Rattus norvegicus: one gene and its partner. The protein of the gene in region 1 interacts with the protein of each later gene in a pairwise test. Links are inferred from orthologs where the notes say so. Each region holds a gene or a part of one and is shown on either strand. Other genes may lie near its edges.

Evidence for each region. The genes of interacting proteins can lie anywhere in the genome.
Region 2: the proteins of Cdc42 (region 1) and Plekhg4 interact in a two-hybrid assay, tested with the Homo sapiens proteins (2 studies listed by BioGRID and IntAct, with this or other methods). The link is inferred for Rattus norvegicus from reciprocal best matches to the Homo sapiens genes CDC42 and PLEKHG4.

Annotation. Positions count from the first base shown.
Region 1 is NC_086023.1:154,873,712-154,877,880, reverse strand, and holds the start of Cdc42 (cell division control protein 42 homolog), read left to right. Parts: upstream 1-1,369; 5' UTR 1,370-1,389; intron 1,390-1,395; exon of another isoform or gene 1,396-1,507; intron 1,508-2,183; exon of another isoform or gene 2,184-2,321; intron 2,322-3,059; exon of another isoform or gene 3,060-4,169. UniProt on the Homo sapiens protein: Plasma membrane-associated small GTPase which cycles between an active GTP-bound and an inactive GDP-bound state. In active state binds to a variety of effector proteins to regulate cellular responses. Involved in epithelial cell polarization processes.
Region 2 is NC_086037.1:50,163,898-50,169,290, reverse strand, and holds part of Plekhg4 (puratrophin-1), read right to left. Parts: intron 5,304-5,393; coding exon 5,205-5,303; intron 5,117-5,204; coding exon 4,968-5,116; intron 4,814-4,967; coding exon 4,675-4,813; intron 4,587-4,674; coding exon 4,470-4,586; intron 4,077-4,469; coding exon 3,894-4,076; intron 3,659-3,893; coding exon 3,156-3,658; intron 3,088-3,155; coding exon 2,841-3,087; intron 2,235-2,840; coding exon 2,145-2,234; intron 2,042-2,144; coding exon 1,820-2,041; intron 1,735-1,819; coding exon 1,564-1,734; intron 1,485-1,563; coding exon 1,307-1,484; intron 936-1,306; coding exon 819-935; intron 710-818; coding exon 473-709; intron 390-472; coding exon 274-389; intron 88-273; coding exon of another isoform or gene 82-87; exon of another isoform or gene 1-81. UniProt on the Homo sapiens protein: Possible role in intracellular signaling and cytoskeleton dynamics at the Golgi.

The DNA.
Region 1 (4,169 bases):
TTATAGCTGTTCACCCCAGAGCTGGGTTTATTAAAGTGGTACCAAGCAGCAAACACAGGGCTTCGTGTTTGCACTACTCCTTGGCATCTGCATCAGTTCCTGCCTCCAGGCAAGCTAGCCCTCTATGGACTGGGCTCCATCTCCAGTCCTCAAATGAACATTCTTCCGATGAGGTTTCCTCTAATGTTGGGAGGCATCTAACAAGTAGGATAGGATCTCTATTCTCCAGAAGCTTGAAGCTTGTACACCACCAGAGAAGACAGCCATTAAACAGGCGCTGAGATGATAGGAAAAAGGATTCGAGAGGTTTAGATCCCACCAAAGGGGTCAGGGGAGAGCACTCAGGCAGAGTAAACGCAGGGCTTTTTGAGGGGAAAGTCTGTAGTTCTAAACAAAACCCAGAGTGATGTCCAGCTCTCACTTCAAAACAGATTGTTCAGAGGCCTGTGGCCTTCAGAAAGCTGTGCACAGCAAGTCACTTCTCAGAGAAGCAAAAGAGGCAAGGCGTGGAGGTGCGTGCCTGCAATCTCAGTACTTCGGAGGTAGAGGCAAGAGGATCGGCAGTTCGGGGCTGGGGATTTAGCTCAGTGGTAGAGCGCTTACCTAGGAAGCGCAAGGCCCTGGGTTCGGTCCCCAGCTCCGGAAAAAAAGAACCAAAAAAAAAAAAAAAAAAAAGAGGATCGGCAGTTCAAGATCAACCTGTTACCCAGTTGTGTTCAAAGCCAGCTGGGCTAAATGAGACCCTGTCTCAAGTTGCTCAATAAAGATAGTCTGGGTATGGTGATGCACACCTTTAATCCTAGCACTCACGAAGCAGACGCAAGGGGATCTCTGAGTTCCAGGCTAGCCTGGGCTCGAAAAACAAAACAAAAAGAAAAAGAGACAGCTTGAGCGTTGTGGTACATTTCTTGGGATTATCAGAACTCAGGGAGCAGAGGTAGTAGGATCGCTGTGTGTTCTGGGACAACCTGGTCTACATAGCCATTTCTAGGGCAGTAAAGGCTACATAATGACACCCTGTCTAAATAAAATAAACAAAAATATTTGTTTACAACAAATATATTTACAACATTTTCTCTACAAAGTTGCAAGAATAGAAGTAAACTTTAGTTACAAACTGTGCACATTTTCTGTTCATAGTTTTATTACGAATAAAATCACCGTTAAAAGGCGCAGAGAGCAAACCCGAACACGCAAAGAACGTAGCCCGCGCGTGCGCGCCAAGGGGCGGAGCCCGGGCCGCCTGAGCCCCTTCTTTCTCTTTGTCCCTCCCACTTCCGCGGGCACCCAACCATGCGTCCCCTGCGTGCTGACGTCAGGCGCGTGCCCCTGTCCGGCAGCCGAGGAGGCCCCGCGCAGTGCTGCCAACGCCCCGGCGGAGAAGCTGAGGTGAGTGCGGGGCCCGAGTAGCCTCCCTGCGGGAGCGTCTTCTGCGCCGCCCGGTCCCCTTCCCATGTCCCCCGTCCTCCCTCGGTTCTCGTGGACGCTCGCGGGCGGGGACATCCCGGTGCTTGCGGGCGGCGGGCCGCGAGGGAGGGATTGCCGGGTTCGCGTGCGCCCGCCGGCCCGGGTTCTGAGGGGAACGAGGCGGGGTCGCGGCCAGGTTTGGGGCCGGAATGGCGGCGAGGCGCGGCCCGGGATGGCGGCGGCTGAGGGCACAGCCCGGCCGAGCTGTCAGCGGCGGCGAGAGGACCGGGCACACCCATCCCACACGTTCCCCTCCCCCTCCGGCTGCCCGCGGGCTCTAGAGGCCCCGGGGCGCGGGGTGGGGGGACGTATGGTCAGGACCGGGGTCGGAGGCCGGGGGCTGTCTCTGCGCTGTGGGCCTCGACTTCCTGCTTCCCGGGCTCCGCCGCGGACGCGTTGCGGCTGGCGGGGGAGGGGAGCGGAACTGCGGCCGCAGGGCCGGGCCGGGGCCGAGGTGACGGACCGGGCGGCTCTGCGCCTGCGCCCCTCGGCGATCTCCTGTCCCGCGCCGCGTCCTCTCCTGCCCCGCGGCTCCGGGGGCTCTCCTGACGGGGCCAGCCTCTTTGCCTTCCGGGACCTGCCTAAGTACCTCCCGAAACCCCGCCTGGCCACTTACTCAGTTCCTCATTACTAGCAGGAAAATTTCTTTGTTGACTGCTACTATTATTATTATATATTTTTAAATTCCTCTTTCCACCCCTTTAACTCCGGGAGATATTCAGTGTGGAAGATTACGTCATCGCAGCATAAGGGGTGAAAGTTTTAACTCCTACAAGTCAGGGCTCACCAAATTAAGACAGCATCTTGTGGCCTTAGTGGGTCACTCCACCCAGCACATCAGTTCAGAGTAAGGTGTAAGGTGGCTTTTTTTTTTGTTTTTGTTTTTGTTTTTTGTTTTTTGTTTTTTGTTGAAATCCTGTTGTCTGTCTCCAGACTGCCTGAGATGCACCTGAAATACGGAAGGTTCAAAATCTTAGGTTTAGGGTATTTTTGGTCAGGGAATACACACTGTCTGCAGTCACTTGTGTAGGTATGAACTTCAAAGGGCCCCTTGGCTGTACTCGGGTGAATTTTAAGGAGCAGTTCTTTGCCACACTAGTTGTGACTTAGCTGATGTAAAGAACCCAAATTCAGTGCATGGTTTGAAGAGTGAGCTGAAAAGAGAATTTAGTTATACACCTGATTTGTCTTTGTTAGGATTGCAGCTTCAAAGTTGCATGCTTTAGTTTTACCATGAAGAATGGCTTTTGGATTTTTTATCTTGAGACAGGGTCTCCATAGGTAGTGGTGGTTAACCTTGAATTTAGAGGGACCTTCCCTCTAGTCTCTGCCTCTCAAGAGCTGGGATTACAGGCATGAGCTACTTAAATTGCTACCCTTGTTTTTAATTTTTTTTTTTTTTTTTTTTGGTTCTTTTTTTCGGAGCTGGGGACTGAACCCAGGGCCTTGCACTTCCTAGGTAAGCGCTCTACCACTGAGCTAAATCCCCAGCCCCTTGATTTTAATTTTTAACCCTAAAAACTTGAGTAATACTTTTAGATCACTAGAATTGTGTGTCCTTTGATTATAGTATACACTAGTGTTGAAGTATTCTTCAACATTGCAAAACAAATGAGATCCAGTGTGTAGCACATCCCTGTAAGGGTGGCTCGTATTTGAACAAGACTTTTCCCATTATTGCTCGTTTGTATAGAAAACAGTATTGTTTGTTAAACACTGGCGTGGTGGATTCAAATAGGCTTTCTGTAGTTTGTAGGTGTGGAGCTTGAATCGTCCCAAATAATTTGTTATGCTTCATGTGACATCTAGGAATATAAAATTGGAGAGTACTTATCTACTATTGTGTTTTTTAAAGCCTATATTTAAAAAGTTTACATGTGTACCAATTTGTATTTTTTTTCCCCTTTTTTTATTGAACTAGTCTGGGCTGGTGAGATGGTACAGTGGATAATAACACTTGTCAGACAGGCCCGACTGCCTTAGTTGGGTCCCCCAGAACCCAAGGTGGAAGGAGAGAATCTGCTCAGGAGGCAGAGGCAAACTCTCTGAGTGTGAGGCCAGACTCGTCTACACAGCCTGTCTTGAAAAAACAAAAACAAAATCTGTCTTCTGATCTTCACACTCTTGCCACATGCATGTGTACACATAAATGCACACAATAATAATAAAAATTAAAAACACAATTAGTTTGAATTTGTAAGTTTTAGACAAGGCAAGGACATAAGAGATTGGTAACTGAGTATTTGAAAGGAGTATTTTTTAAACAGTAATTTGTTCAAGACCCAAAATTGCCTTCTATTCTGTTAAACACTTGTTTAAATTCAAGATATTTTCATATTGAGACAGTACCTGTGCTTAGTAAACACATTCCCTGCACCAGTAATCCATGTAAGCCCATCAAGACTAAATCCCCAAGTTTACAAAGTTTACAAATCTTTACAAAAGATTTGTTTTCTTAGGAATATTTTTGCACTTGAAATGTTTTACAGATTGTTTTATTTCAGATTTTCACACATCTATGCAAAATATTTTATATTTTGACCATACTCATCCCTATTTCCCTCCTCTGCCCCTCAGCATGTCCACCTCCCAAGTCTTACTCTTTTTTATGACCCACTGAGTCTAATTTATGCTGCCCCACTCTTCATCTTAAGATCTATGAAACATTTCTAGTTATTTTTACTGCTAAATTTTTTTTGGTG
Region 2 (5,393 bases), on another chromosome or scaffold:
CCAGCCATGCTCTGGTTAGGGCAGACTCAGAGGTGTGGAATTCCATGGAGTTACTGAGTGATGTTCATCTTCAAGCCAGACTCAAACCTAGGGTGCCAAGTCAAGCAAAGTCAATGTTTTACCTCCCTCCTTTCTGGTTCTAGGGGTGGACATGGAATCCTCTAGGGAACAGCTCCAACCCACCCATTTCCAACTCCCCTAAAGAAAAAGCAGCTATAGCCCAGGGTAGGTTAGGGAAGGGCTGGTGGGCATAAGGCAAAAGATGGTACTCACACAGGACAAGTCTTCAAGGCCTCTGCCCATGGTCTGCCCCGACACACAGCTGCTGTCAGAACCACTAGAGCCACTGGCTGATGGGCACTGGGATGAGACCTCTGAGTCCTCAGGAGCTAAGGAGGGAAAGTGGGTGAACTGTTAGCAGGGGAGACCCAGACCTAAGCCATGCCTCCCGCCTGAGTAAGCCCACACATACTCAAAGAAGGCTGGCTGCCCAAGTCCACCTCAGTATCTAGTGATGCTTCTTCTGGGAAGTTGGGTGGAAGCAAGGACCAGTGAACACCCAGAAGAGCTGGATCTCTGTACAGGTGCAGATTGAGAGACCCCAGAACAGAGCAAGAGGCACGGTCTCCAGGTAGGGAGGCCAAGGCACCCAGATAAGGGTTGTCATAGTCAAATGGGGCCACAGCAATGGAGGCCCTAGAGCGAACATCTGTATAAGAAAGAGGGACAGATCAGAGCCCAGTCTGGCCTGAGGCAGCCAGGGAGCACAGGCCAGACTGTTGCCTCCTCACTCCCACCCTCTGTAGGATGCCTACTACCTCGTCTTTTCAGCACATAGTTGATGTTGCGGTCATTGATAGCCTCCTCACTGGGGGCAATGTCCCAGAAGGCTTTGTTCCCCACACCCATGGATGCCATCTCAGCCATGCGCACCTCTGAGTAAATAAAAAATAAGGCATAAGTGAGGCTCCCTGAGATGTATGTACCTAATGAGTTTTTCCTATATACACATAACCCAGAAATTAACCACTCTATACTGTGATCCTTTCTGGTGCCAGAATCCTCTCCCTCTAAGTACCCCACAGAAAGGTATCACGATGTCCCTTTTAGGGCATAAGAGCTCTGGTATTGAGAGGAAAAGTTATGTTCTTCCCCTGCACTGTCTTCTGCTGCTGCACCTCCATTCTTCCCAAGCTAATCCAACCCAGTCTCTGGCAGGATGCACTCTAGGGAGTATGTGAGGCCCTTAAACCCTTCTCAGGCTCCTGGGAAGACATGTATTTTGGGGCTTTGTATAAGGACTCACCCTTGTTGTGTACAGCCTGCCTCCAGAGGAGACGGGAGATATCAGCTGTCCAGGCTTGTTTGGTGGCCACATCGGAAGCCTGAAGCACAAACAGGTCCCTGGCCTTGCGACGTCGGAACCAGATCTCGAAGCGCAGTTTACTTTCCCCACAGCACTCCGTGAGGCCGAGGTCTGCCATCTACATGGCCAGTAGAAAGGAGTGTGGTGAGGCATGGGGGGTGGGGCTGGAGGCAGAGGTCAGAGTCATGGAGACTTACTTTGAAGGAACGCTTGTAGGTGAATATGTCAACACCTGCAGGCCCACGTCGAGGTTTGCTGAAGAGCAGCAGCTCCTCAAACAGGAAAACGCGACGACAGGACTTGTGGTGCCCAGCCCGCACTGTGAACTCATCCTGTCGTACCAACTGCCCCTGCTCCTTGAGGTTAACCTGCAAAGTTGAAGCCCTTAGATGGCCAGCTGTCCCACGCCCTTCTAAATCCACGGTGCTTCCCCACATGGCCCAGGTGACTCACGTCACAGCCCTGAATGGCATCCATGGCTAGCAGGTCATTGCCATGTCTCAGCTGGAAATGCACAAGGCTCTGGGCTGCCTGAAGGGCACCCAGCTCTTGTGCTGGACCCCCACAGGCCCTCGCCAGCTCCTGCAGCAGTAAGGCATACTTGCTCATGCGCTGGATGGGCTTTAGCAGGTAGGAAGCCAAGTCCAGGTGGTCTCCCAGTGCCTGCTGCTTCTCCTGCGATCAGTGAGGAGATAAAAGTGGTTTTGGGGGGAGGGAAAAAAGTGGTTTTGGGGGATGCCCACCAAGCCTCACTCTTCCTACAGTCTCAGGCTCCTACCTTGAAGAAGGTGTGGCCATAGTTGCTCATCAGGGCATCAGACCGAGGTTTATTCTTGCTGTAGAGTGCATACATTCCAAACTGCACCCTCTGGAAGGATACACAACTCAGCCCAGGTGCCAGGAGACTGATTTCCAGAAAAACCCCCACCTCTTAGCTTAAGATGCCAATGCTGATCTGCCCTACTCCTGCAGATCCCACTTTGAATGAGGATGAGCCAGCACGAAGCAATGCTGTGTCAGAGTTGTCAGGCTGCACAGCCAGCCTCCACATTCAGCTCTGCCCCTCCCAGGGTTCTGGGACCTCGACTTAGTGTTCACTATACCTGGCCATTCTCATGATGTCCATGAAGCCTCTTCTGGGGGCACAACTCACTCTCTACTCGTCCTTTGGCCTCTACTCAAACATCCCCACTTTTAAACTGGGAACCCAGCCCCAAATGTAATTCACAGAAAATATTCCTGTTTAATTCCATCCTAAGTGTAATCTAGAATGATCTCTTTTATTTGTACATCTATCCTACAGAACGTAAAATCCACTAAGAGGTAGACATTTCTGTGGGTCTCATTCACAGCTGTACCTAGTAGTGGTTTGCTTGCCCCCACAGCACTCAGTGTGACACAGCACTCTGTGCACGGAGCCTGACACTAAGTAGGTGTCCAAATCTCTAGGGCTTGTCTGGCCTATGGAACTTACGTGGCGCAGGAAGGCATGAGCCACTCGAGGTGGGTGCCGGGTGCAAGCCTCTAGCTCACGCAGGAAGAAATGGAAGTGGAAATCCCGAAGCTTTTCAAGGTTGCCAAAGAGGTGTGCACGCTGGCCACGGAGGCCCTGGGGCACATCGGACCGATCTAACTCAGGGAAGTAGTTCTGTATGGTGTAGTCAAGGGCCCGGACATACTCACGCTCTGTGGCCACCATCTCCGCCAATACTAGCTGTAGCCTATGAGGTAGGTGGAGTCAGAACCCAAGACCATCCACAGACCTCCCTGCCCTGCCTTCCATCTATACCTGTTGGGGCTCCTGAAGTCAGAACTGCCTGACAGAGGCACAGAAGGTGATGACCTGGGCCGGATGCCTCCTCTGGCCTCAGGTCTGTGGCAGTCAGTAACAGTGGCTGCACAGTGGCCACGATTGGAAGCATCTCCAAGATGCTTCCCCAGATTCTGATCAAAGCTGTAGGACTTCCTCAGTGGAGGGATGGTGGGTATAGCAGGAGCCCGCCTGACATACAAAGTAGCTGTGCTATTCATTGATTGTGGCTTTAGTGCAGCCTCACGCTTCTGATCCAGAGCCAGCCAGGTGTCCTGGCACTGTGCCCAGGCCCAGCGACATTCCTGGCGAATGCCTTCTGAGCCTAGGCCTGTAGCCAGAGCCCACATTTTCCGGAAGTGGGCAGGAGGCAAGTCAGGGTGTTTGCTCCAGTGCAGCTGCAGTCGCTGCAGCACAACCTCCGGGGTCTCCTGCTCCAGCTCTGTCAGCACCCGCTGCCCTTCCTCCGTCCATGTTGAGGCCTGCAACACCAAGGCCACACACACACAGACATAAAAGCAGGACCCCAGCAAGCCTGAAGTGCCTTCTGTTATGCTCCCTTGTCCCACCCACTGGCTGGTCTGAGGACATTGATCCCAGACTACAACCCAGAAGTTGAACTTGGGATCACACTGAAAGCAAGATCACACTTGAGCAAGCCAAGCAGAGTTAGGGGTGGAGCTTGGGCAAAGCCAGGATAGGGACCTCCTCAGCCACCTGCTTAAAGAACTGAAACAGCTTCTCAGCATCTGCCAACCGCTGGCGCCGCTGGGCCAAAGCTCTGGAAAATTCCATCAGCTGGGATCTCAGGGCCAGAAAGCGCTTTCCAGTGGGCCCCAGTTCAGCAGCCTCCCAGCCAACTAATGGCTGCAGTAACTTCTCCCCTTGCTTGACCTGTTCCTGGAGAGACAAACTAGACTCAGCTGGTGATCAGCGCAGACTCAGATCTGGCATCTATACATCTCTCATGTAGTCCTGGTACAGCAATCCTCCTGCCTCTGCTTCTGGAGTGCTGGGACTAACAGCATGCATCACACACCTGACTTTCTGCCACATTAAGTTCTGAACATACTGTTTTCCTAATTCTTTTTTGCCTTATTGACCCTAAATTATACTTCCATGCTGCTTCTTTCCAGAGTCCTTGTCTGTGTGTGCAAAGACATCTATGAACCCTTTATTACAACTGATCTCTGCTGAGGTAACCTCCAAGAGAGAGAAGATTGTTTGCCTTCACTCAAGCCACAGTCCTAGACCCCTGGCCCAGTCGCTGCACAAGTAAATAACCAAACCTACCTGGGCAACCAGGTCCAGCTCTTGAAAAGGGCCCTGGGCCTGGAGTAGCATGTCCAGTGAGGGCTCCCCTGGTTCCTCCAGCCCTGGCCAGCCCACCTCCTGTAGCCACACTTCAATCTGGATGGACACAAGCAGAAGGATGCAAAGGCAGCTGCTATGGTTGGAGTGACTGCTGAGACCAAGGACAGGAGGCAGTAGCTTCTACCTGGCACAGCACACCCTCCTGGGCTTCCAGTGCTTGGAGGAGCTCTAGGGCCCGGATTCGCTGGTTGCTCTTCAGGGTTAGCCGATGCAACAGTTCATCCACTTGACCATACAACTCATCAGCCTTGTCTACTGCAGACCTGTGAAAAGCACAGTCTTGTCCTGTGCTCCGACAGTCCCATTTCTGCACTCTGGGACTCAAATCTAGCATGTGCTGAGTTAGCCAGTTGAGTGCTTAACACAAATGCAGGCAGCTGAGCTGGGGTAAGTTCTGATAGCTGGGCTTGTAGTTACCTGTAATCGGGGCTCAGGGCCACCTGTGGCATCCCTTGTTTCAACCATGCGAGCTCCAGGCTTCCCTGACTTTGTAACCATGACAACTGTGGTGACTCTAATACCTGCTGCATGAGGGACTGTGCCTGCTGTAGCAGCTCACCAACTTCCTATAATTGAGAGTACCAGGCATTGGTTGACATGGGAGAGAAAAGGGAAGTCAAGGGACACTCAAGGAGATTTGGCAGGGACACTCACTCCAGACTCCAAGGGCTGCCGCATAGCCTTCATACTGTCAATGACGCCCTGAAGCAGGGCACAAGCCACCTGACAACTCTGCTGTAGGGTTTCCAGACGCTGTGAGCAGATAGAAGCATGAACGATGGTGCGATGTGCGGGCTGCTCCCAGCCTCTAGGATTCCAGACCCCCCGCAGCCAGTTTCATCC